Oryzias latipes: one gene and its partners. The protein of the gene in region 3 purifies or fractionates together with the protein of the main gene of each other region. This does not show direct contact. Links are inferred from orthologs where the notes say so. Each region holds a gene or a part of one and is shown on either strand. Other genes may lie near its edges.

Evidence for each region.
Region 1: the proteins of med9 (region 3) and med16 purify together in Homo sapiens (affinity purification with mass spectrometry; 5 studies listed by BioGRID and IntAct, with this or other methods). This does not show direct contact. The link is inferred for Oryzias latipes from reciprocal best matches to the Homo sapiens genes MED9 and MED16.
Region 2: the proteins of med9 (region 3) and med18 purify together in Homo sapiens (affinity purification with mass spectrometry; 6 studies listed by BioGRID and IntAct, counting the BioPlex papers as one, with this or other methods). This does not show direct contact. The link is inferred for Oryzias latipes from reciprocal best matches to the Homo sapiens genes MED9 and MED18.
Region 4: the proteins of med9 (region 3) and med12 purify together in Homo sapiens (affinity purification with mass spectrometry; 6 studies listed by BioGRID and IntAct, with this or other methods). This does not show direct contact. The link is inferred for Oryzias latipes from reciprocal best matches to the Homo sapiens genes MED9 and MED12.
Region 5: the proteins of med9 (region 3) and med7 purify together in Homo sapiens (affinity purification with mass spectrometry; 5 studies listed by BioGRID and IntAct, counting the BioPlex papers as one, with this or other methods). This does not show direct contact. The link is inferred for Oryzias latipes from reciprocal best matches to the Homo sapiens genes MED9 and MED7.
Region 6: the proteins of med9 (region 3) and polr2e purify together in Homo sapiens (affinity purification with mass spectrometry; 4 studies listed by BioGRID and IntAct, with this or other methods). This does not show direct contact. The link is inferred for Oryzias latipes from reciprocal best matches to the Homo sapiens genes MED9 and POLR2E.
Region 7: the proteins of med9 (region 3) and med8 purify together in Homo sapiens (affinity purification with mass spectrometry; 5 studies listed by BioGRID and IntAct, with this or other methods). This does not show direct contact. The link is inferred for Oryzias latipes from reciprocal best matches to the Homo sapiens genes MED9 and MED8.

What each region holds. Positions count from the first base shown.
Region 1 is NC_019862.2:1,609,767-1,613,266, reverse strand, and holds part of med16 (mediator of RNA polymerase II transcription subunit 16), read right to left. Parts: coding exon 3,478-3,500; intron 3,408-3,477; coding exon 3,258-3,407; intron 3,191-3,257; coding exon 3,085-3,190; intron 3,003-3,084; coding exon 2,847-3,002; intron 2,193-2,846; coding exon 1,975-2,192; intron 1-1,974. UniProt on the Homo sapiens protein: Component of the Mediator complex, a coactivator involved in the regulated transcription of nearly all RNA polymerase II-dependent genes.
Region 2 is NC_019874.2:22,764,196-22,768,152, forward strand, and holds med18 (mediator of RNA polymerase II transcription subunit 18), read right to left. Parts: upstream 2,800-3,957; 5' UTR 2,443-2,799; intron 1,966-2,442; 5' UTR 1,959-1,965; coding exon 1,886-1,958; intron 1,167-1,885; coding exon 610-1,166; 3' UTR 501-609; downstream 1-500. UniProt on the Homo sapiens protein: Component of the Mediator complex, a coactivator involved in the regulated transcription of nearly all RNA polymerase II-dependent genes.
Region 3 is NC_019866.2:10,874,976-10,877,605, reverse strand, and holds med9 (mediator of RNA polymerase II transcription subunit 9), read right to left. Parts: upstream 1,253-2,630; 5' UTR 1,201-1,252; coding exon 1,121-1,200; intron 926-1,120; coding exon 706-925; 3' UTR 501-705; downstream 1-500.
Region 4 is NC_019868.2:8,263,262-8,266,761, forward strand, and holds part of med12 (mediator of RNA polymerase II transcription subunit 12), read left to right. Parts: intron 1-67; coding exon 68-178; intron 179-263; coding exon 264-377; intron 378-506; coding exon 507-643; intron 644-2,111; coding exon 2,112-2,291; intron 2,292-2,454; coding exon 2,455-2,526; intron 2,527-2,621; coding exon 2,622-2,785; intron 2,786-2,903; coding exon 2,904-3,065; intron 3,066-3,143; coding exon 3,144-3,345; intron 3,346-3,459; coding exon 3,460-3,500. UniProt on the Homo sapiens protein: Component of the Mediator complex, a coactivator involved in the regulated transcription of nearly all RNA polymerase II-dependent genes.
Region 5 is NC_019868.2:21,185,906-21,190,180, forward strand, and holds the start of med7 (mediator of RNA polymerase II transcription subunit 7), read right to left. Parts: upstream 2,801-4,275; 5' UTR 2,685-2,800; intron 518-2,684; 5' UTR 509-517; coding exon 1-508. Other genes in the region: itk (tyrosine-protein kinase ITK/TSK), read left to right, coding at 4,188-4,275. UniProt on the Homo sapiens protein: Component of the Mediator complex, a coactivator involved in the regulated transcription of nearly all RNA polymerase II-dependent genes.
Region 6 is NC_019862.2:26,974,570-26,978,790, reverse strand, and holds the start of polr2e (DNA-directed RNA polymerases I, II, and III subunit RPABC1), read right to left. Parts: upstream 2,801-4,221; 5' UTR 2,684-2,800; coding exon 2,627-2,683; intron 890-2,626; coding exon 715-889; intron 1-714. UniProt on the Homo sapiens protein: DNA-dependent RNA polymerase catalyzes the transcription of DNA into RNA using the four ribonucleoside triphosphates as substrates.
Region 7 is NC_019862.2:24,741,087-24,745,068, forward strand, and holds med8 (mediator of RNA polymerase II transcription subunit 8), read left to right. Parts: upstream 1-1,182; 5' UTR 1,183-1,275; coding exon 1,276-1,281; intron 1,282-1,413; coding exon 1,414-1,535; intron 1,536-2,563; coding exon 2,564-2,708; intron 2,709-2,791; coding exon 2,792-2,932; intron 2,933-3,010; coding exon 3,011-3,098; intron 3,099-3,169; coding exon 3,170-3,409; intron 3,410-3,485; coding exon 3,486-3,556; 3' UTR 3,557-3,730; downstream 3,731-3,982. UniProt on the Homo sapiens protein: Component of the Mediator complex, a coactivator involved in the regulated transcription of nearly all RNA polymerase II-dependent genes.

The DNA of each region.
Region 1 (3,500 bases), on a different chromosome or scaffold from region 3:
TAAGCAACTTTTAGTATTTTAAATATTCCTCAGCAATTACAAAGAATACGAATTGTGCTTCATTACATAACATCATGTGATTAACTGTAATTAATCATTATGCCCATTGATACATTTTAGATTATTTTCAAAGACCTTCGGTTACAAAATCTTTTTTTAAAGAAGTTTGCTTTAAAAAAAAGAATACTGCTGTTTATCTGGTTACTGGGGATCTACAGTCTCAGAACTCGATCTATGAAGATTAAATAAAGAATTTTGCTATGGGTGAAGGAATCGGTCAATAAGAAACATATTCATAAGACAAAGTTGTGCACAAATTCATAATAAGAGCGTAACTTTGCAAAAAAAAACAACAAGTATGAATAAAACATTTAGTTTTACGTTTGACATGTCGGTTTTGGATAAGACTCTTGCTTGTCTTGAATTTGAAATTTCTCCTGTTAACAAACTGTCAAAAATCCGTCACGGGGTCAAAGGGGCATTAACATGGATTCCCAAAACATTGACTGTTCAAATTTATGCATGCATCTAGAAGTTTATTTATTAAACTAAAATAAAATAGAACATTTTAGAATCTTATTGATCCCCTGAAAGGGCAATTATCTCAATACAATTGCTCTGTTAACTAAAAAAACGTTATTAACAGCCATTTCCGTCCTGCCGCATTTTATTTATTACCATGCGACAACAGCTGATTGCATAAACAATGCACCGGACCCAGGACTGGTGGGAAAAAACCAGCAGGTTACTTGGAGATTAGAGCCGATTAAGCTTATAAAAGTCCATGTTCATCGAAAAATAGATGATAGTAAGAGAATGATGAGATGAAATAAGAAAACGGCTGATCCCCGCCTCTCTGCTGTTGGATGCTGACGGAGAGATTCCTGTCCCCCCCCAGTCGGGGCATGGAAGAGAAGGGGCGAGTCTATTCCCAGGACCCAACAGAGCAATGGTTAAAACATAATTTCTCAGTAATGGATCAATTATATTCTAAAAGATTCTATTTTATTTTAGATTAATAAATACATTTCAAGACGCATGCACAAATTTGAACAATCGATGTTTCGATTCGATGTATACACCCTTCTTGATAGTTTGTTACCTGGGAAATTTGGTATTCAAGAAAAGCAGTCAAATTTAAAGCAAAGGCAAATCGTGTTCAGGACAGACTTGTCACACGAGAAACTTAATGTTGTGTTCATATTTTTTTCACAACACATTGTGCACAACTTTGCCTTTATGAATATGTTTCTTATTGACAGATTCCTGACCCCATAGTTCCCACCAGCCCAGTGAGTCCAACGGTACAAATTCAAAGAAATTCAGCTACAACTTTTACTTCCTGATAGGGCTGCTCAATAAGAGGAATACTTACCATAGGCGATATTAATGATCAATATTGCAATGACGATATAACTTGCGATACATGAAGAAATAGCAAAACAGCCAAAAACACATCAATTCCATTTCACTGCAACAGTTTGATTTAAATAATATTGAACACAACTCAAACATTCCAAATGACCCTCGTCTACATCGGAGGCAAGCATCTAACATAAAATGGCTCCATCTAATTGGTGAACAACGTGAAGGTGTCTGTCTATCCGATTGGTCAACAACATGAAGGCGTCTATCTGATTGGTCAAAAAGAAAACTGCACAACTCTACACAATCTCTGCACAATGTTGGCACTCTATAAGTTTTGAACATTTTGGAGCACTTTCCACTTTTGTGACCATAACACTGTCATTGTTGTCTATAGAAGGCTACAAAATTGTAATAAATGTTTTTTCTGCAAAGTCACCTAAACGTTTTATCCTTTTTTTAACCGTACTGCTCTTAGGCTTGCTCTCTGTTGGACAGTTGTGGAATACATTTCAGTACTTACTGCATGTGTATGTGTGTAACAGAAAAATGTCAATTAGACTTAACATAGCTAAAGCTATCACCAGAATCTAGCATCACGGAACTCACCTTGCCGTAGTTGTCAATTCCAACCAAAGCTAATGATGTCCAAGAGAACTGCAAGGCTTTAAAGTGGAGGAAAGGACCTGAAGTTCTTTGGCGTTTCAAGGTTGCTTCGTCTCCGGGCCGTGGACCAGAGGAGGAGGAGCTGTAGTAAATCCCCATGAAATGAAGGGAGAGGCGATGATGGATCTGAATACTGCCATCATGAAAAGCCAGAGCCAGACCTGAAAATCAAGAGAACAGACAAAGTTTAGTAAAGCAATGAAAATGCTCTCTGCCATAGAGTTCCCTCAACTGTTCAACGGGCAAATTTATTGTCACTATAGATCCCTTGCAGTGACGTCGAGCAGACACCAGGTGTCCGCCATTTTGGAAGTCAACCATTCATTATTTTTGGTACATCCAACGGGTAAAATCAGCAACTTTAGTAATAGCAACCAAATCTCTTCGTGGTCCACTGTCAAACAGTCAAACAGGAAGGTTGTCGGCCTACAGATGCCAGCAGACTCTGCAGTGAACACTTTGCGTCAGGTAGACTGTTGGTTACACATTTGAATTGTCTTAAAAGAAATACATATCTAGGTACGCTGGGTAAGAAGAGACACCAGCCGTCAGTTCTGAACTGTAACAGACCTTCCAGCTCTTTATTTTCTTGCCAACAACACAGACGGAACAGATCAAAGACAGACAGTAGAGCGGACACCACAAAAGATCAACACGACAAAGCTCTGCAGCAGCAATGGTCTTAGTCTTACTCCCACCATTTGACTTCCAAAATAACGGAGAGGGTGTTCACGGAGGTGTGCAAGGGGTCTATAGCAGCCTTACTGGAGTTCTACCGCTAAGGTAAGGTTCTAGTGGTTTTGGGTTCTACTCACCAAGACCTGGACAAAACTTGGTGTCTGGTGCAACCTTGAGGTCAGTGTTGGATATGGCGATAGGCAGTTTGGGAAGAGCAACAGCAGACACTCTCTCTAGGTCGCCGGTGGTTGTCAGAATCCGCCACTTCAGGATGGTTGGCTGCTTTTCACCCACTGAAACCAGGAAGTCTGAGGTCAGAGGATCCAAATGATAAGAAACAGAGTCTAGATCTGCTTGACTGGAAGTTTTTCTGACCAACTGGGGATCTGTGCTGGAAGATGTTGTTGACAGGAAGACCTTCCTTTCTAAGAGACCAGCATTCCACAATGCTGCCAGTCTGATTGGATGCACACAGCAGAACCTAGAACACAGACAAGCGCTCAAACGGCAGCAGGCTTCGTGGTACCAGAAGTTGTGAGGATAATTACCTGCTCAGAGTTCTCTCTGGTCAGGAATTTCAGGTGTGTGACAGCTGGGTATTTGTCCCTCCTCATTGGATCGGTAGTGCAGCGCAGAAACAGGGATGGTAACAGCTCTGTGTCAATGCGACACTTCTCACTCACAACACTAACCACCACCTGAATACACAGTCAAACAAAGTTGAGAAGAAGAACAGGTAATAGCTTTAATGGCTGTAACCAAACTGACCTTGTAGAACTGGACAGGAGAGG
Region 2 (3,957 bases), on a different chromosome or scaffold from region 3:
TTGTAATAGTCCCAGCTCAAGTTCCCATGAAAAAAAGAAAGGATACTAATGGGTTAACAGTAGAAATGAAAGGGGAAGAGAGGGAAAATCAATGCTTTTGTGGAAAGGAAGAAAGAAAGGCTTTCACAGGTCTATGTATCATTAAGCAATTGAGAAAGCTAATTAGAGTGGGGTAAACGATGTGCAGATCGCACAGCTAATTATTTCCATGGCAACCAGAGCTCCTGTAGATGATGAGAGGTAGCGTTCACTTTGCTCCAATTAAGACCATCCTTGTGGAAAGAGAGACCCCTGGTGGACATTTATTATATAAAAAAATGAAATTGAAGATTTAAAAAAAAATTTTTAAAGCAATAACATAAGCCATCTGAGGCATTGCAAAATGTTTGTCAACTTAAAATATATTTAAGTATTTTCCAGCTATTTGTTACTATAATATTTTCTTTATAGTAGGCACAAAAAGTAAAAAATAAATTAAAAAAATACTCTGACAGGTCAGATTAACCACAACTGTAACAGTTTAAGCAAAGTAAATCTGTATTTCATCACATTAAAAAGCATTTAAATGGAAAGGAAAACAATAACAAAAACATTTTTTTCCATTAATGCTTAATGTCTCTGCTTGCTTGGGTCAATCTTCTCCAGATGAATCAGAGGTTTGAGCTGCTCGGCAAAGCTGCGCATGTCTTCTGACACGGTGTCCTGTCCGGCCGGAGCCAAAATGCTCAGTTCCACTAAATACGACAGCGACATTCGCTCTGTATTTTCCGTGTTCCCTGGTACTAGGATGCGTGAAACCTTGCTAACCACAACTTTCATTGCTCCTTTGCGAAATATGTGACCACTGGCCACAAACTCATGGTCCATGCGAAAGCCCATCTCATTGAGGAACTCCGGAAGGCTTTGAGAGGCAGCTACATCGACACAGTTGCGAACCAGAGCATGGCGGCTCTTGTCTCCCACTTCTGGCTGGCCTAGATACCGCAGGTGCCATGGAGAAGTAGGGTGGGAGAGGGAGCGTCTGGCACGCAGAATGAAGGGGTTGCCTTGCTGGCCTTTCAAAAGGTAAACCAGCTCGTGGTCGGTGAAAGTCTCTGGTTCCATGTTGTCACAGAGACCACGCAGGCGATGCAGGAGGCTTTCCAGAGCCTGATCCAAAACACTGCCTGAAAAAAACGAGAAAATAGAATATCCTTTAAAGACTCATATAGTAAGTTCTTTACTCCCACTATAATTATTTCCTGCTGTGATACAACTTTTTAAAAATGAATATTAAACATATAATCCTCCATCATGAAATTAAAAAATGTTCAATGTTAAAATTAGTGTTCGTTTTAGATCTCTTTTTTTTACAAACACAGTTTCAATAAACACTTCAGATGTGATGAAAACATGAATAACAGGTTTCATGAATAAAAAAATTTAAAAAAAGCTTTCCTGACTTGAGGATTATTTTTCCATAAATCTTTATGCATCTATATAATCTTAAATACTTCAGTTTACTAAATACAAATGTGTCCAGTAAAGTGCAGCACAAACAGGACAGGAAAACCTTAGAAATATATATTATTTTCAAGACAGAAAGTAACTGAGCACTCTTTCCACACTCTTGACAGTGTGGTTTGCTCTTTAATGCTACACCAACACTCATGATGGAAAAATAATTAGCTCAACTTAATAGTTTTTTTTTAAAGACTAATATTAATGGATAGAAGTTGGTTTTAGCAACAGAATGAAGATGTAAACATTATTTTTCAAATAATTTAGCCAGTGAACTTCATACTGGCTTCTAATATATGTATTCTGGAAAAATACACCGTTTTATCTGTAAATATATCAAGCCTCTATATCTCTGGTTGAACCTTCTATATCTGAATCGTCTCACCTTGTAACAGATATTCCATCATGTTGATGGCACCGCCGGTGACGGGCATAACTGTGACAGGAGGAGCTTCCATCTTCTTCCTGATTTAAAGTAATAGTGAATGATGGCATTGTCATTCACTTAGCAAAAAGTACTACACTTGAAGTTTATTTCATTGAGGACACGTGAGAATAAGTACAAGTGTACGATAGACCATGTGTATATTGTGAAAGAAGTATTAACTGACTGAAAACTTCTTCAGACTAAATTGGAACATTTTATGTTTTGAATTTAGCAATACTAGATTGTGTTTAAAAGTTTACTTCAAGTATATCGTCCCACTAGCCAATTATACATGTAGTAAACTAAATAGGCTACTTTTTGCAAAGTGTTGTTGGACTACTCTATTTCATTTGCAGTTGTTTGATGATACATGTGAGTGACATTACCAATGAATGAATGAGTAAACAGAAAACAGTTGTTAGCTAAATTAGCGAACAAATACAACTACCAATAGCAGGCTTATGCTAACTAGCAAAAGCAGTAGACGTTTCTCACTACAGAGTAAGATGGTTTACCTGAGCAGAATAAAGAGTTCGGCGCAGCGTTAGAACTGACTAAAGTTAAGATATTTTTGCTGTTTGTGGTTGGTTTCCACGGTGGGCCCCCTGTTTCACCGGTTAGCTAATATCCACACGGCTGCTAGTACCAGTTAACAGTTAGCCTACATGGAATTACCAACTCACGATTTGAGCTGTTACTGTCATCAACAAAGTAATTTAAGGCATTCGTACTTAACTTAAAAAATAAAAAAAGTGTTAATGAAATATATATTGTAACCCGTTCTAAAAACAACCAAAATTTGATGCTAATCAGAAAACAAAGGCGCCCAAGTTCTTCCTTGGCTTTTGTTTTTAAAAGGCGCTTTCAATCCAGTTTAAAGCTCGTTACTGCCACCTACTGAAACCCCGGAATATAACCATTCATGGAAGCAACTTTCTGTGTTAGCTTTTTCCGCGCAAACAGGTATTTAGGCAAATGATAAAACAATAAGTACACGTTGAATACACTTATTGAACTTAAATTTTAGCAATGTAGAAAAAGGATCAATTACAGTAACCCAAACAGGGGTTACTTTAAAAATACAATCCATAAATAACATTTTTTTAAAAATCAACTTCAAGTCATTTGATTTACAAAAACACTCACAAACCAAAACGTGCTCTAAAAATTGAAACTATTATCAGTGCAGATAAGTAACTAAATGTATTTGAAAACCTTGCACATATTTAAAAATAATAAAAATATATATGTAGATTTCATACCGAAAATGTTGTAATAGTAATTGCTGGCACATAAAAAAATAAAAGCCTAGCTCTGTGGGCCTTTTTTTTAAAACTCAGATGCTGTCTTCACAACAATTACAATATTTTTACAATTAGTTTTTGTTAAATATTTTCTTTTTAAAACATTGAATAAAACATTTAAAATTCAGACATGCTGCTATAGTTTTTGGCTGATTGAGGTTCACAAACTTTTTTAAGATTTGTGCTTAACCTTTTAAAGTAAATGACAAACATTCCATCAGATGCATATTTTACACATAAAATAATAAAGATATAAAAACTGTGTTTTGACGGATTCCGAAGCCTTTAAAGAAAAAATATTTAACAAAATTTGTGTCAGAAAAAATAATGGTTCAGAATAATTTAAAGGAACTTGTTTTCTGTTTTCAAAGCACTTGCTGACAGTATCAGGTACAGACACAAAGCAATGCTATATTTCATAAAGATAATTAGCAAGCAGTTATTCATTTTCTGACACAATGGAAAAAACCCTTCTAAGGGTTTCCATTTTGGACCTTGTAGGGTGAAGTTTACTTCAACTCACAAAACAGAATCCATGTTAAGGCAACTTCAGAACTGCTAAAATATCGCAACAATTACCTGCTCAACCTATCCAAACTGCTTTTTGTGAATTTTATTTCACTGTAAATGGTTTCATTGTGGGCTAATTCACGGCCATTGGTCTTTGCAGGGGTTCTAAAGGCAATTAAGGAATAAACAATGGAGGGTTCTTCTTCCACCTGCAAA
Region 3 (2,630 bases):
GCTGTTCGAATGAAAATACATGTTTATAACACATCATTTATTGAGACATTCTGAAATTAAATGGACTTATATATAAAAAGAGCTAACAGCCTGAATAATTATTCATTAGGACTCCATTGTTTGCACAAATGATAACCATGGCACAATAACAGAGAAGGAAAACAATTAGACTAGGAGGCAGTGCAGCACATATAATTAGAGGCTATTTAGTAGATATCAACAGATGTAATATTTGGCCCATTAGAGACAATATCATTTATGATTAAAATCAAACTTTGTTTAGAGAAAAATGCTGATTCACATTAAATTAGATTTACTTTGCATGTTGTGAAAAGGAACTACATAAAGTTATGTGAAAGTGTGTGCCGTGGCAAATGCTTTCCTTTATTTAAAAACCTTTTAGATTCAGACTAAATGGTCTGCTCAATAAAGCATCAAAGCCCTTATACATTTATTATTAATAATAATAATAATAATAATAATAATGAAAACAAGTAAAACACTATAGCACGATTTAATTTATTAAAAATAGAGATTTACAACTTGAAATAATAACAGATACTTCAGAAACAGAGCAGATCATTCACACTGATGCAAACAAAAAAGAAAAACAAAAGTCCCATTTTTCATTTCAGGTTTTTTTTTAAATGGTAAACCGTAGAAATAAACGTCTTTGCTCAAGTCTCCAGTTTGTAGTCTGTTGTCTCACGACGCCTTAGGCACATCAAACATGCACAGTCCCTTGTACTTCTGCAGCAGCTGGTTCTTGGTGCGGACCTGCTCCCGCAGCGTGGCCAGCTGCTGCTGCTGCTCCGGCGGACTGCAGTCTATCCCAGACATGTTAGAGATCTGCTCCCGGGTTTCTTGGATCTTTGTTTTTAGTTTTGTCAGCTCCTGGTTGACATCCGGGCTGTCCTTATCCATGCTAAGCAGAAACATAAATAAATAAATAAATACATAAATAACAGACTTCTATTAAAGGCAAAACTGCACCCATGATGGGAAGCGTTCACGTCACTTCTCATATAGCAAACCGTAAATACCCCCAACGAGAGTTTACCGTGAACCATTTAGTAAATACCAACATATACGTAAACCCAGCACACAGGAAACAGCTTACCATTTGATAATGTCGTGAACTAAGGGCAGCAAAGAGCAGTCTTCGGTCTCCTTCACGAGCTTAGCCTGAGCTACCGCCATTGCTACTCCTTCTGCAACTGGCGCAGGCTGATGACGTCACAGGTTACTCCGAGAATCTCAACTGAAATCACAACTTTAAAAAAGTTCAATTGATGTTGAACAACAACAACAACAACAATGATTATAGATGAATGAGTGAATGATTGATTGAATGAATAAATGAATGAATGAATGAATGAATGAATACTCTAGTTATCAAAAGTATGAAAAAAATGATTACCTTGAGATGGTAAGTCATATAAGTCATGGTATGATTCCCAAACTATTAAAAAGTCTTGACACAAAACAAGAAATAACAAAGAAAAATTTGCTGTAATAAATTTCAAACACAAGAAAAAAGATCTAAAAGATTTGGGACTGATTTCTTTCTGATAAAGCCCTTGCAATTCTCGTGGCATGTCATCATTTTGCTCAGAATAGGTCCCAGACCTATTCCAAGGTTGCTCGGGCATCAAGTCCGGGTGCCTCCTGTACGCCTCTCTGGGGAGGTGTTGCGGGCATGTCCCACTATGCGGAGGCCCCGGGGAAGACCCAGGACACGCTGGAGAAACTACGTCTCTCGGCTGGCCTGGGAACACCTTGGGGTCCCTCCCAGAAGAGCTGGAGGAAGTAGCAGGGGCGAGGGAAGTCTGGGCATCTTTGCTTAGACTGCCCCCGTGACCCAGTCCCGGTAAAGCAGAGTAAGATGGATGGATGGATGGATGGAGGTCACAGACCATTTGTCAATGCACATAATAAACACATGACCTAGGACTTGGAATGACCTTGGCTACACGTCTTGCTACTTGGTAACCTGAAGTACTGACATCGAAAGTCAACACAAGACATGCTTGAGAACTGAAAAATGGGGAGCTGTGTAAACACTAGAGCTCATAGCAAGCACAAATATAGTCTCACGGTGCGTCACGCAATTTGTCTGTTTGGAAGATAAATGAAGTGTTTCATTCAGGTCGTGCATCTCTGTCTGGAAACCCTTTTTCCTTTTCTGTTTACACAGTGCGTCCTTGTTGATTGGGGATACAATATTTAGTATGTAGAAAATAAAACAAAATAATGAAAAGCTTACTTCCTGGTTATTTTCTAAAGCCCTGTTTGGCAATACATTAGGCAACACGGAGAATTAAAATGGCTAATTTGCTCAATTCTTTGTTAGTACAAGTGACTACACGATTATGCATGTGTAGCAATGACGATTCTCCTGTTTGATGTTGAATTATGTGTTTTATTTTTAAATGTATTCTTTTTAGCCCAAATAACTCATGTTTACATCCATTTCACATGAAATCAAGTTTGACCTCTTGATGCAGCGAACATCCCATGAGTTCATTACTCACACCTGGTGAACACAGAAAGGGAAAAACTCAGTCTCCCCTGGAGAAGATAGAATGCCAACGTGACACAGGCAGTGAGCATTAAATTAAGTGTGAGGC
Region 4 (3,500 bases), on a different chromosome or scaffold from region 3:
AGTCTAAAGCTAAACTGAATAGTCTGAAGTGATGTAGAGCAGGTATGATGTCACTTCTCACTTGCAGCCTGCAGTGAGCAGGACTCTGAGCCGGGAGCCAGGCTGACCTGCAGGATTCTGCTGCACCTTTTCAAAACACCACAGCGCAACCCTGTCCCTCAAGACGGGGCCAAGTCAGGTAATGAAGCACTAACACACAGATTTTCACTCACTTCTTATCAGAAATGTCAATTCTTTGGTGTTTTTTTTCTTTCTGTTTGCAGACAAATCCATGGTTGGGATCCGGTCGTCCTGTGATCGCCACCTTCTTGCTGCTTCTCAAAACAGCATCGTCGTTGGAGCGGTGTTTGCTGTCCTCAAAGCTGTGTTCATGCTGGGTATGAATCTCTCACTGCATCGTCAAACAAGGACCGTCTTCATTTCAGTTTGCGTTGAGGCTTAGAGAGTGATGGAGTTATCAGAGAAGCAGGTGGGTTTGGTTGAATCATCTTTTCATTTTTCTGCAGGCGATGCTGAGCTTCGAGGTTCGGGTCTGTCACATCCTGCTGGCCTGGATGACATATCTGACAGGCGCAATGTCTCCATAGAAACAGCCAGCTTGGATGTTTACGCCAAGTATGTTCTGAAGACCATCTGTCAGCAGGTGAGGGATGAAAACCCTGTGAAGTTGAAAGGGAAAAAAATGCAAGTTTTTGGGGGATAAATCAATAGAGAGGCCTTTCACCATTGAAGAATGGAAATTTACAATGACTTTCTCAGCAAAATTGAGCTTTATTGTGATTTTATTTCTAAGGAATGATTCTTTACTCTGGGTTTAACAATCAACCAATTTCCAGTTCCGACTGTAGTTCAGATCAGGCGTGGTTAATTATTTTAACTTGCGGGCCACATTGGGTTGTAAAATCCGATAGAAGGGCCGGACCAGGAGCAGATGCGTGGAGTGAGAATGATTTAACATGGAATGCAGATGAAAACATTTATATTGAAAATTATATTCTAAAACAGAATATTCTAGAGTTTTTAGGTTAAAACTTAATTCTTTTTTATTGTGGAGCCCTTTGGTACCTTCAAGGAGTTGTAAAGTGCTACATGAATAAAGTTTCATTCATTCATGATCCTTTTAAAAAAATAAATACCGGTAACTTTATTTATGAAATAAAACAATGACCAAATAACACTATGATTTTCAAAGACAAAAATTCAGGAAAAATAAACTGATACATTAAAAACAAAACACAAAAAAACACAATAAATAATGGATCCTCTCCCGTCATAATCATAATAAAGGCTTTGAGGGCTGCAGGTCATCACATCTCAGTTTTCGCAGCTGCGTTGTGTTCTGCACGTCTGTTTCTCATCCAGTAATAATGAAAAAGCAAATGCCTATGTCTTCTGCTGCAGCTACGTATATTTCTGCGTTACCTTTTCACCAGAACAGAGTTCCCTGTTTATTGCAGGAGTTACGTTCTAAAAATAACCGCTATCGTTGAAATCCATGGAGGATGATTACAGACGTTTATGCCAGTAAAACTCCTCACTGCCTAAATACACTTTTCTCACACAGACATGAACATTTTCACCATTTTTTCTTGTTTAAATTCTCAAACCTTCATAGAAATTAAGTCCAGGATCTTAAAATGAAAACAAAGATCTGATCAATCACAGATTTCTGTAGATCTGAAGAGCTCCGCGTTTCTGTATAGGAGACACGGAATGGAGGAGATTGATTGACAAGGTCTCCAGCCAATCAGGACACAAAACAGGGTGCGCTGTTTAAAAAAAGCCGCATAATCGCTCTAAAAGAATGAGCTGAACCGGGAAAGATGAACTGCGACGTAGAAAGGAAAGACTGTCTTCTGTTCTAATTGACAGAGATTTTAGAGGGTTTCAGGTTGGAGGACAGACTGCAGAAGGAGGGAAAAAATGTCACGTCTTGATCGTGTGGTCAGATAAAAAAACAAACAAACATGGGTCTCTGACATTGTTCAGTGGGCCGGACCAAACATGGAGGCGGGCCGGATCCAGCCCGCGGGCCGCAGTTTGCCCACCCCTGGTTTAGGGGTAGTTTCTGTTGGTTAAATGTCTCACGGCCCTCTTGTGTCCGTCTGTAGGAATGGGTCGGGGAGCGCTGCCTAAAGTCTCTGTCTGAAGACAGCAGTGCTCTGCAGGACCCGGTTCTGGGGAACATTCAGGCTCAACGGCTGCTGCAGCTGATCTGCTATCCTCACCGGCAGCTGGACAGCGATGAAGGAGAAAACCCCCAGCTGCAGCGAATCAAACGCATCCTTCAGGTACAGGAGAGAGGTGTTTTTCAACCAAACGGTTGGATCGGCTTCATTAAACTTCAGCTGCAACTGTTGCGCTGCCACCTTGTGGATGAATAAGTTACTGAAAACCCTACAAACCTCCATGATAAATACGAAATATGTAAAAAGGATTGTTTCTTTTGTGTAGAATATGGACCAGTGGACGATGAGACAGTCGTGTCTGGAGCTTCAGCTGATGATCAAACAGAGCAGCAACAATGTGATTAACTTTTTTCGTTTTCCAAATACTTTTTCAGCTTTCTATTTTTTGTTATTGTTGAGAAAATGTGTTTGTTTTTCCCCCCCTTTGTCTAGGAGCTGTATTCTCTGCTGGAAAACATAGCTAAAGCCACTATAGAAGTTTTCCAAAAGTCAGCTGAGATGAACTCCAGTAACCCCTCAGGAAATGGAACAGCAGCACACGGAGGCTCTGCATCCAACAGCAACAGCACCACAAGCAAAATTAAACCTATTTTAAGGTGGGGATTCATGAAAACTCATAGGAAATATTGTATGTGTACCTTTTGGGTTTGAATCTTCCCGCAGATTGGTTTCCAAATGCTTGAGTTTACTGATGTCTGATAATGATTGTTGCAGCTCATCGGAGCGGTCAGGCGTTTGGCTAGTGGCTCCACTGATAGCAAAGCTGCCCACCTCAGTTCAGGGTCATGTGCTTAAGGCAGCAGGAGAGGAGCTGGAGAAAGGACAGCACCTCGGCTCGTCCTCACGCAAAGAGAGGGACCGGCAGAAGCAAAAAAGGTGGGGGTCAAACTCTTTATTTTGATGCCAAGCCCAGTTTTTAGTCCTTTGAGAAATCCCCGTCCCTTCTCCCTGCAGTATGTCTCTGCTGAGCCAGCAGCCGTTCCTGTCTCTGGTGCTGACCTGCTTGAAGGGGCAGGATGAACAGAGAGAAGGCCTCCTCACCTCACTTTACAGCCAAGTGCAGCAGATTGTGACCAACTGGAGGGAAGATCAGTATCAGGATGACTGCAAAGCCAAGCAGATGATGCACGAGGCGCTGAAACTACGACTAAACCTGGTAAGCATCCTCCCAAAACAAAACTTTGATTGGGCTAAATCTGCTGTGAAGTTAACCACACGTATCTTCATTTGAAAGGGTTTCAATGGCTCTGACTGTTTTGTCTTTTTTAAGGTCGGCGGCATGTTTGACACGGTGCAGCGTAGCACCCAGCA
Region 5 (4,275 bases), on a different chromosome or scaffold from region 3:
AAGCAAGACACCCTTGGATCATCTCCACGACTCTCTCCAGGTGTTTTTGGAATCTCTCCGCCGTCTCCAACCTCTGCCTCTTCTGCACCTCCATCATCACCCTCAGAGTCTCCCTGGCTTGGTGCGGCCTGTACTCGTTGATCAGATGATGCATGTGAACAAACAAAAGCTTTATGTCCTCCATCTTCTCTTCGCGTTTAATATTACCAGGACTTTTGATAAGGATGTCTAAAAGGTCCAGAAAGTTTACGAGAATGGACATGTTCAGCTTCTTGAGCTCCCGTTTGTGGTCAAACTGCATAGGATGCAGCCTCTCGATGCCTTGGCTCTCCAGAGGCCGAATAATAAGGTCGTCGCACTGAAACTGATTGCCAAACATCATGTAGCTGTCTCTGATGGGCGGAGGCGGCTTTGGCACCAGACCTTTGCGAATGTTTTCATCTGTATACTCCTTGATGTACTGCATGGGCGGTGGAGGCAGTGCGCTGACCTGCTGTGGTTCACCCATTTTGCAGACCTAAAAATTATAAAATAAATAGAACTACAAGTTAGAAAGAATCCAAACAACAAATACACAGTCATGCACCTGATAAGATCCCACTGTTGTGGCGAGTTCACGGGTCTCACTTATATGAAGTAAAACAATCTTTAATGACCCCCTCATATGTTCTGGGTGATGGCATCAGCTACCTCTTGCATAAACGCTTTCTCCAGTCAGTAAAGTCACAGTCATGATAGCACTTTGTCAAAACTATGCCTTTTTAATGTGCCAAAATAATAACTTTCAAGAAAAAATATCCTTATTTATTCATTTTCTAAACCCGTTTTTGTCCCTTTCAGGGTCACGGGGCTGCCGGAGCCTATCTCAGCAAAGGCAGGGGACATCATGGACAGTTCGCCAGTCTGTAGCAGAGCCACGTTCACACACCCATGCACACTCACACCTAGGGAGAATTTAGTAACCAATTAACTTATGAAGCTTGTTTTTGGACGGTGGGAGGGAGCTGGAGTCCCTGGAGAAAAACCAGGGGATCACGCAAACGCCACAGAGAAAGGTCCCCCAGTGGTGATTCTGTTTCAGGTCCCCCAGCTGGGACTTGAACTGGGGGCCTTCTTGCTGTGAGGCAAGAGCGACAACCAAGAAGAACATGCATCTGTGGAGCTTAAACATATACATGTTTTTAGGTTAGAGTAGATAAGTATTAAATGCAGATTAACCAACAGACACAGGAACAGATGTACAATGTTGACACTTAGCCTAATATTACTAGTTTTGTATATGCATCCACAAACGTTATAATTATTTTAACACGGTTTACTATAGTTTCTGTTACAGATACTTATTCAATAATACATTGTTTTACAATATATTTTTCAAAAGATTAAAGAAAATGTAGAGGAATTTTTAAGTGAAACATTTTTTTAAAATTGTGAGAAAAGACTTATACAGGTTTCCATAATCAGTTTTACAATACCAAAAATAATTAATCAATAAAGCCATTTCTAAATGCTGTGGAAAATGGCATAAAGATGTGACAGCTTCCATTGCATTATAGTTACCTGTGGGACAATTAAACAGATTTTTGATTGATTCCTAAACTTCTTTACATCCTCATGTTTTTTTAATTGAAACAAATTGTCTGTGCTACTTACCGGTAACTAAAAATCCAAATTATTATAATTCCTTTATCTATAAGAAAACAGTTTTTATTCAATTGAAACATGTTTAAATTTATATTATCTATCACTATCCCCCCTATCAGATTGTACTTGTTAAAGAATATGATTTTTTTCTGTGTGATTTAACACCATTTTTTCAAAATGCTTATTTGTTGTGCACATAACCTTATAATTGTTCTGCTATCAATTTAGCAAATACAACTGAATTAGTAGATTTTATATTCAAAATTAAAAAATAAATAAAAAAAAAACTGCAGAGTTTAAAAAAATGTTTAAAGAAAAGCCATCCTGATGTAAGAAGAGAACAAATGAGGGTCAAAAACAAGTCAAATTGTGGATTTTAGTAAAGAGAAGTGCATACATGCACATTCTATACATTAAAAAAAACACAGCTTTTACAAAATGCATATTTGTTGATGTCTGTTTTCAACACTTTGTATCATTGTTATTGAAGGAAAGAAAACAACATTCAAATCAGAGAAGGATATGTCATATGGTCGGTGCATGTTTTAACTTGAAGATTGCCACGATCAGAGTTTACCGTAGCCAAACGAGTCGTTAACCGCTCCAACCAATAAAAGTATTTTTTCCCACGCGTTTTTTTTAGGATTTTACACGTGCTCACAAGAAGTACAACAACAGATAATGTTCACACATCACATAGCTAAACCTGTTTTCTAAGTAAGAAGGCGGACAAGTCGACAACAGACACACACATGATCATCACGATTCATTTTGAGAACTATGTCAAAGTCAAACCTAACGTAACAAATCTCGAATTATTCCGCCGTAGTGCATTTAGATACCACATAAAAGCCCACGTATATACTAACTAACAGTAAAAGTTATTACAAAAACCTAATTAATAAAACCGCTCCGTTGATGTTTGGCTAACAACAAACGTCGTTTCCTGCATCTGCTGAATAATACAGTCTCTACAGTCAAAGAAACAGGTCTGTAACACGAATAAAAGGGTTACATTTATAACTGATTATTGTACAAACCTGTTTAACGACTCAATTGGTTGAGTTTAGATGAAAATTCTTCTAGCCAGTTAGCTCCTGACTAGCTTCGCTTTATTCATTTCCCGGTTGAGTTTCAGATGCCAGGATTGGACAGTGACCCGGAAACAAACTCGACGTTGATTGGTTGCGTCGACAAGCCTTTAAAGTATTTCATTATTAACCTTATAATTAGTGGGTTTTATTCAAAACTAATCTCTTTCCTGTATTAATTGTTTTAAACTTTTTGTTAGTTTTTGTTTGTTTAATATAGTGAGTTCAGGTTCTGATCCTGGTAGGCCTATAAATCTTAAAATATGTTCTTAAAATAAGCTGCTTAAGAAATCAAACCCAAGCAAAAAAAGTTCAGATCTGTAACCATAAAAAAGGGGGGGGAGGGGGACTCTAATTTTAAAAATGTATCTATCATTTGTTTTTACGCCCTAAATACAGTAGGGCAGGTGAAAGTGTCTAACTTTGAATTTTATGTTTCATTTTCTACTTAGTCAATTAGCAACACCTAATATTCATTCTTTTTCTTTTTTTTACACTTAAATAAAAATGGTCAAACTATTATAAGTAAGCTGACTTCATCTTGACCCTGACACTAAATAAGAATGACATGTAACATTTTATTTTATAAACGTTGTCATAGGCCTAGTGAATATTTAGCAGAGGGCAAAGGTTGTGCTTCGGAGTGTGCAAAACAAAACAAGAACATCGTATTTGAACCAAAATTGAAAAGAAAAATAAGAATCTTTCTAACCCCAAAGAAAACATAGCCTCATGAAAAGTACATCAAAGGTTCCATATTGTATTTGGATACATTTTTCTTAGAAACCAGACTTTTCTCTTTTGCTGTTTTCTGCATTTAGTGATTCATGAAACCTTGACATTCTTAGTGTTTGTAGGATATAACTTATCATGCATTTTACATTTTTAAAAATTGCATTTTTTTCATTTTTAAGTTTTCCTTCAGTAGTACTTTTTTACTACAATTTTGATACAAGCGGAGAGTTTCTTTTAAATGAAGAAAAAAGAAAATTTAAAAATTCCGAAAAAAAACCCCAGCTATGGCTTCTTAGGTATTGATTAACAGTGTTATTTTTGTTTTTAGCTTTTGATTTAATATGAAAATTTAAATTGTTTTCTAAAACATTTTTGTTTAACAACCAAGCAATTCTGACAAAAAGCTTACATTTTTATGCAAAATTTGATCAATAGTACATCAAAGGTTCATGTTAAAAAAAAAACCTTTATTGAGTTTAACACAACATACGTGATGATACGTGTGTGTATTTGTGTGCACATCAGTGTGTGATTGCTTGCACAGAGTGTTGCCACAAGGATGTGGTTTACTGCATGCAACTAACCCACGCCGGAAACTCTTCGGCATCTTCAATGTTTGCATTCTCCCTTTTTTTTCCCCCCTGCAGTCAGAGGCTTTCAGTTACTCCGTCCAATACCACCCAGTGTCTCCAGTGGTGTTATTCTCAACTGCTAACCATGTTTCCTCGGGTGATTTTGAAGGGAACCATGATCAAAAAATCTCAGCAAAAGAAGAGAACGTCACCGTGTAATTACAAAGAGAGAT
Region 6 (4,221 bases), on a different chromosome or scaffold from region 3:
ACACTGAACCTCTTTGCTATTGCCAATAACTGTGTCTGATCTGCGAAAAAGAAAAATGATAAAAAGAATAGGAAACTGTAAAAAAATATAACCTGTTAGACTCAAATGAAAGGTTGATATTTTCAACTGAACCTTAAATATTGATGGATTACTTAAATTTGTATTTTGACTTGTGAAAGATTTAAAAGAGGAAATTGACTACAGTTGGATATGACATTTATAAAATAAATCATGTAAAAAGTGCCGTTGCGATTGGTAAGGTTAGTGTGTATTCTTCTCATAGAATGGTGTTAAACAGCGTTCAGTTGTCAGCTTTGCTCGTCTAAAACCAGAAGTACGGTGACACAATGGCGCCCATGTCTCTGTTTTGTCTGACGTCACCATGAAAAGGGTCTATTGGCTTCATTTCTCTGGAGCCGGAAGAAAGGCGACGTCACCATGGCTCAATTCTCTAATAAAGTCAATGTAATCTAATGGGAGAGTGTGTAAACAAAAAAGGGATGATGGGATATCAGCAGGGGCTTACGTCCGTGCCAACAGTGATGCCCACACAGGTTTTTATGAATTTGGCTAAAAACAGAGCATTCATAAATATAATACCACTGGGGACTCCTTTAAAAATAAATCGAAATATGATTGGAGTGTAACTTAAACTTTTGGTTATTTTATGGATAAAAGGATGAGTTCCCAAATTATTCTCAAGTATAAACCTACCAGGAAAGAAAACAAACATTTGATCAGTGGGATCATCGTTGTGTGCGACCAAGACTGTAAGGTCCGTCCGTCTGGGACGACCCTCGCTGGGTTTGTCTCCGAATTGACTCTTGAACTCCTCCAGGGTCTGGTCCAACTCATCTTGTGTTACCAGATAGCCTCGATCGTGGCAGAGCTGTGGTTAAAAAAAACAAACAACATTTTAATATGTATAGTGTTGGCCAAAGGTTTTGAGAATTACATAAATATTGGAAATTGCAAAAGTTGCTGCCTAGGATTTTATAATAGCAATTTGCATGTTCTCCAAAATGTTACAAAGAGTCATCAGATGAATTGCGTAGTCCTTCTTTGCCATGAAAATTAAATGAATCCCCCCCCCAAAAATCATTTCAGTCATCGTCTTTTTAACTCAGTTGAGAATGTTGACGAGCACAAGACTGGAGATCATGATGTCAGGCCGGTTGGGTTAGAATGGCAGACTTGACATGTTAAAAGGAGGGTGATGCTTGAAATCATTGTTCTGCCACTGTTAACCATGCTGACCGGCAAAGAAACGTGTGCAGCCATCATCGCGTTGCATAAGAATGGCTTCACAGGCGAGGATATTGTGGCAGCTAAGATTGCACCTAAATCAACAATTTATAGGATCATCAAAAACTTCAAGGAAAGAGGTTCAATTCTTGTTAACAAGGTTTCAGAGCGTCCAAGAAAGTCCAGCAAGTGCCAAGAATCGTCTCCTAATGGGTTTTAACTGTGGGATCGGAGCGCCACCAGTGCAGAGTTTGCTCAGGAATGGCAACAGGCTGGTGTGAGCGCATTTGCATGCACAGTGAGGCGGAGACTTTTAGAAGATGGCCACTTATCCACCCCAAAAACAAACATCAGGGACAGATTGATCTTCTGCAAAAAGTATGGCGAGTGGACTGCTGGGGACTGGGGCAAAGTCCTATTCTCCCATGAAGCCTCTATCCGATTGTTTGGGGCATCTGGACAAAGGCTTGTCCGGAGAAGAAAAGGTGAGAGCTACCACCTGTCCCGTGTCGTGCCAACAGTAAAGCATCCTGAGACCCTTGATGTGTGGGGTTGCTTCTCATCCAAGGAAGTGGGCTCATTCGCATTTTTCTCCAAAACCACAGCCATGAATAAAGAATGGTGCCAAAACTCCCTCCAACAGCAACTTCTTCCAGCAATCCAACAACAGTTTGGCGTCAAACAATGTATTTTCCAGCACGATGGCGCACCGTGCCATGAGGCAAAAGTGATAACTAAGTGGATCGGGGACCAAAATGTTGACATTTTGGGTCCACGGCCTGGAAACTCCCCAGATCTTAATCAATCTGGGTTGCTATCGGTCAGGATTTGGCCCTAAAGTTGATTGACAGCATGCCCAGTCGAATTGCAGGGGTGCTGACAAAGGAAGTCCAACACTGCAAAACCTGACTCTCTGCATAAATGTCATATAATTATTGTCGATTAAAAAAAGCCTAAACGTAATAAAGAGCTGATAACTATATTTCAGTACATCACAGAAACAAAAATCTAAAAGCAGTTTAGCAGCAAACTTTGTGAAAGTGTATTTAATGATTTGAAGCATTCATGTTGTCATACATGTAGTCTACATGTACGAAAACATGTTGGCTTTTTTTAATGGGTCATCATGGGTGTGCTAAAGTTAGCCTTCGTTCAAACGAGGCTAACGAATGCATCATTCCTACACATAATAATTAAAAAAAAAAGTCTGAGCGCGTAATTGGAACGACTTGCACTGAGAATAAGAGATTAACACACAAAACGTAAAAGATTTAGTTACAACTTTAACAATGGCAGTCAAAAGCGACTCTTTAACGCGAGCCACATGTGAAGCTAACAGCTAGTTCGCTGCTAAGCTAGTATATCCTTTTATTTAATCCACCTGCATTATTGTTTTACGGATCTTCCACAGCCGGTAAGTTTCCTCTTCATCGTCCATCCTTTCTCAATTTATTCTCCTTTTCGTATTTTTAAATCACTAATATTCTTCTAAAAATCCGATGGCATCGATGGTTCCTGGCTTGGCCAATATTATATACCACAATGCATTGCGTTTGATCGAGTTGACGTTTAAAAAAACTGTTCTTAAAGAAAAGTCCTCCAGGTTATTATCTTCAGAGCGAATTTATTAAGTCTTCATAAAATGTTCTTAATTATTCGGTATTTTTTTTTAACTTCGGCTAATTGGAAATGTAAATCTGAAGACAATTTACTTATGGTAAAAAAAATAAATTAAAATAAAAATTTGCTTCAGAATTAAAAATCTCTTTCTAAATTTATTTTTTACTGACTGAATTTAGGTTTTAAAAAAGCTTAGTATATTTTGCTAATAATAAATAAATATATCACCTTCTATGTTTTAATTATGACACATTTTATCTATAAAAATAGATAAAATCTTAGAATGTAGACGAGGGTCATTGAGTATAATTTAAGTACGTCATCTTGACTCTTCTTTAAATTAAACTGTTGCAGTGAAATAGAAACTGTCTTTTGGCTGTTTTGCTATTTGTTCATGTATCGCTAGTTATATCGTCATCGCAATATTGATCATTGATATCGCAGAACGCGAGTTTCCTCATATCGTGCACCTCTATCTCCTACCCCCCCCCCTTTTTTTGAACGTTTTGACCTATATTTTATTTTTATTTTTGTTTTGAAAAACCTCATACGTCATTTCCTCCTTGTCTTGTCAAGCATTTGACTCCACCCACTTGAGTTTCACAACACTGGGTGGAAATGAGTCACGTGCGCTTACAATGAACAAAATAGATTTTTTCCGATAACTGGGGCCTTTTTATTATTATTTTTATTTAAGTCGCTGTCAAAAATGAGGCCATTAATTGTTATGTTGACAGTTGGGGCTATAGCGAGCAGCGGAGCACTGCTGGCGATGGTACTGTACTTTGTTTTGTCCACCACGGTAAAGTATTTCTTCTCTATAACCTGATTGCATAGCCTAGCACAGTGCATGCGTTTCCATTGGAGTACATGTATTATTACATGTCTATGCATACGTAGGCATGTCTCCTGTTATTGTTGTGTTTTTGTCATCGTTCTGCTTAACACCTCGTAAGGAGATTTCTCCATAAGCTCATAAACCTCTTATATTTGTTAGCCAGCGAGTTCTGGATGGTTCCGAACAGTCCGGAACAGAACAGACTATAGTCACAAACGCTGGAGCAGCGCCAGCATCCTTCACTCCGTCTGTTCACTGGCACCAGCTGATAAACATATCACAGTGTCAACATTTTAGATGTTTTTTTTTGTATGACGTAAAAAACCTCTGCCTTACTTTTTTATTTTTTTTACATTTACCTTCACATTTTGTATGTTTTGCCATTTAAGAACACATTGCTAAATTCCATTTAGGTTTTTATATGAGTCTAAATACCAAGACAGCTCAGAAGAACAGTTCAAAACAAACACAATGACTGATAAATCGTGAAGTTTCTTATTTCCTGTCGTGGTTTGTTG
Region 7 (3,982 bases), on a different chromosome or scaffold from region 3:
CTGAAGACGGTGGTGGTGGAAACAGGCGATGTGGAAAACTACTTCTAGAGTTTCCGTTTTACACTCATTTCAGAGCAATAAACGAAACTGTGCAGACCTGTTGAATGTGGATGTCCTATTTGAACTTTTCTGGAGTGTCTTTTATTAACTCTTAAGTGTGTATGAACAGCTGGCATGATTCTTCAGGCTAATTTATTTTGTCACGTTGGACATTTGCTCATGCAAACATTATCTGAACTCTGATCCTGAAGTAAAAATAGCAGTTGCATATAGAGTTTACACTGCTAGAAACATTGATCCATCTTCTAAACCACCTTTATTCATGTATATAAAAAAAAAGTATGCTGGGTGTCCTAGAGCCCACCCAGCTACTGAAAGGCAAAGGTGGGATACACCCTGGGCAGTTCACCAGACCACTGCTGGGTCAAATGGTGTTAGGATTCAGTCTAAGAGACACTTTTGAGGTCTTAGGTCAGAGAGCTCTTCTCCAAGGTTGCACCAAACAATCAGGTCTCTGTTTTTATAAGGCTTGTATTTTAGTCTGATGCCTGGACCGGTGAATGTTAATAATAAAGCCGAACTAAATAGATAATGTTGATGACTCATAAACTTGAAAAGAACTGATTTTGTAATGGTTGGCCAAGATTCTGGGACATTTGGAGCTTCCACTAAAGATAACCAGAACAATATACAGCTTGTTACAGAAGACCCATGATCACACACAGAAACAAAAACACTAAACATATCATTTGTTTTTAATAAATACCAGGAAGACTAAATTGTTTCTGCTCTGAGCTTTTATCTCTGTCTCCCTGTAAGCTGCACCTTCTCTGTGCTTCCTTCACAACTGTCTGCAGGACTCATCCTCTGATTCTGCTCTCAGCTCTTCAATTTCACTTTGGTTGCTGCAATTTCTCATTTTTTTTTAGTCAACACCATCGTTGATTCTCTATTTTAAAAAAGTCAGTATAGACTGGATTAATGACTCTGACGGGACAGTTCTAGTACATTATTTTGGCCTGGAACAGAGAATTTGGACGAAAGAAAACAATATTAAAGGGTGCAAAACCCTCAGAAACAAATATTTATTGAACAATAAATAAAAAAAGAAAAGAAAAAAACAAGAGGATGGGTGGTATGGGTACCTGCTGTAGCCACAAGGGAGCACAAACACACCGTCAGATTTGACCAGAGAAGAAGAAGCATCTCTTTTTTTTGGAAAGCGCAAAGCGGAAGTACAACCTAGAAGACTTCCGGGTCGCTGACAGATCAACAATGCAAGTGAGTCTGAAATAATTTCACTCGGTTGTCTGTGATTCTTCTGACCTACTGTGGACGATACTTTGGACTGATGCTAGCTCGGGCGCTGTGTAATCTGTCCGGGCCTCTCTGCTCGTCCTTTTTGTGTTTCAGCAGCGGGAGGAGAAGCAGCTGGAGACGGCGGTGGAGTCTCTCATCTCCCGGGTGGCTCACGTTAAAAACGCCCTGAGCAGCTTCATCTACAAGCTGGAGAATGAGTACGAACGTCTGACATGGTGGGTCCTCCTGCCCTTATGACGTAACGTATCCCCCCTCCTTTGATTATGATAAATAAAAGCCTGGAAACATGCGAAGTTAACAAGTGAGTGCATATCGTGCGTGTGCATGTGTGCGCGAGCGCACTTAGACTATAAATCTTTGTTGATCCCACAAAAGGGGAAATTACCTTGTTGTTGCCATAGCTCCAATAAAACATCAGATATATATTAATAACACTAAAAATACACTTAAACAATTAACAGCAATCATTTTTGTCCAATGTCTATAAGGCATTGCAGAGTCTAATAGCTGACGGGAAGAAAGATCTGGGAAAGTGCTCCTTCCTGCAACAAGGTGTAAAGGAGCTGCTCAGTACACCCATACAAAGGATGATGATGATGATGAAGAAGAGGAGTGTCCATGATGGAGTTCAGTTTCTGTAACATTTTACTCTCACCCACCACAGTTACCGATTCTAGGAGACATCCCAGAACGTAGCCGGATCTCCGCTCCAGTTTGTTGATCCTCTTCTTGTTCCTGTTTGTGCATTCACACCTCCAGCAGCTCAAACCATAGAAGAGGGCAGACGCAACAATGCCATCATTAAAAAGAGTCCTGAAAACTCAGGAGAACCCCAGTCTCCTCAGTATCTCCTGCGATCTGGGATTGCTTCTCCAGCGGCATGTTGTTGTTGCCAAGCAACAACAGCTGACCGTGTAGACGATGTACCCACAGACCGCTTCAGACCCAGAAAGTGGGGGATAAATAGTCCAAAGGACTAGCAGGCACGCCACTGCACTTGTGTAAAAAACAACAATTCTGTCAAAAAACAGAATAATAATTAGAGAAAAAAAAAAACGAAACTAAAGAAAAACAAGCAAGCCAACACAGATCTATGGTAACTGCCAGCTTGTTGTAGCATTGGTGTCTGTATTTGCGTGCGTGTATTTGTACGTGTGCATGCGTCTTTTAGAAAGTGTTTGTGTCTCCATGTTTACCTGCAAAAGTTTTCTCACCCCCCTCTCAAATCTTTCCTGTCCCTCAGGCCATCTGTTTTGGACAACTTTGCTCTCCTCTCGGGTCAGCTGAACACCATCAACAAGCTGCTGAGGAACGAGAAGACCCCAGCTTTCCGGAGTCAGGTCATCATCCCGCTGCTCCTGTCTCCTGACCGGGATGAGGATTTAGCTGTGAGTGTCGCCGCAACATTTGCAGGCTGTCCTGTGTGGTGAAAGACCTCTAACTATCCTGTCCACCCCCACACCCCCCTCAGAAACTCACAGAGCAACGCGTCCCGGTGTTCAGTCACGAGATTGTGCCAGATCACTTGAGGACCAAGCCTGACCCCGAGGTGGAAGAGCAGGAGAAGCAGCTGAGTGCAGAGGCGGTCAGGATTGGTCCTGAGTTGGCTCAGGTCAGGAGGCGCATGGATGTTTGTTATCTGTTGTCTGTGCTCAGAAGGTGTTTAGTGTTTGTCTGTGCTAATCCACAGAAGCATATCCAGGCTCTGAACAAGCTGTGTTCCAACCTTCTGGAGAAGCTGAACAACCCTCGAGAGGACAGAGAGGGAGATGCTTCTGGTGGGTCGCTCGTTTGTGTAAATCCCTTGTTGTCCTTATTGTAGAAAGAGCTGAGTGTGTTTATCTTCCAGCAGTGCGGCAGAACAAAGCGTCCTTCAACCCCACAGACACCAGTGCCTTGGTAGCAGCTGTGGCTTTTGGGAAGGGACTCTCCAAGTGTAGACCTCCTGGCCCTGTGGCCCCTGGCCACCCAGGGCAGGGGCCCATGATGAGCGGAGGTCCAACGTTACAGCAGGTCACTATTGGTGGCGGGTCAAACCAGCAAGCAGGTATGGGAGGGCCTGGGGCCCCCCAGCAGCAAGGTCAGCCAGGTAGGAAACTGTACTGGTAAAATGTATTAAGTTTTTTGTATTGGAGACACATTTTTATTTCTTTATTTTTGTCCAGGAAAAATGCCAAGCAGCATCAAGACAAACATCAAGTCTGCATCGGGTTCCATTCACCCTTACAACCGGTGATCTCCCCCGCCCGCCTCTTTACTGCTCAGATGCAGGAACATCAGTCTGTTACTGGGTCCACCTTCACGTCCCCCTTTGAAGCTCTCTATACAGCCACTAGGTGGCAGCATGGGATCCTTTATGGCTAAATCTTAACAGCACAATGACATGTTTTCAATAAAACCCAGAAAAGCAGCTTGGTTTGTGTGGCCTTTATTATACAAGTGTCTTTCTCTTGTTTCTGCACTGAAACGACGTGAAAAAACCTGAGCTCCGCTCTTCTGAGTCTGTGTTGCAGCGCTGAGCCTGATGGGGGTGGACGTTGTGTCACAACTTTTAAGGGAGAACGCGAGGAACTATTGCTGTTGACAATGGTGGTGGTGGGGGTTTTATTCCTGTCTGAGTGTTGGCCCTCTGTCTGCTCTGATCCTGTCTGGCTGTATGACC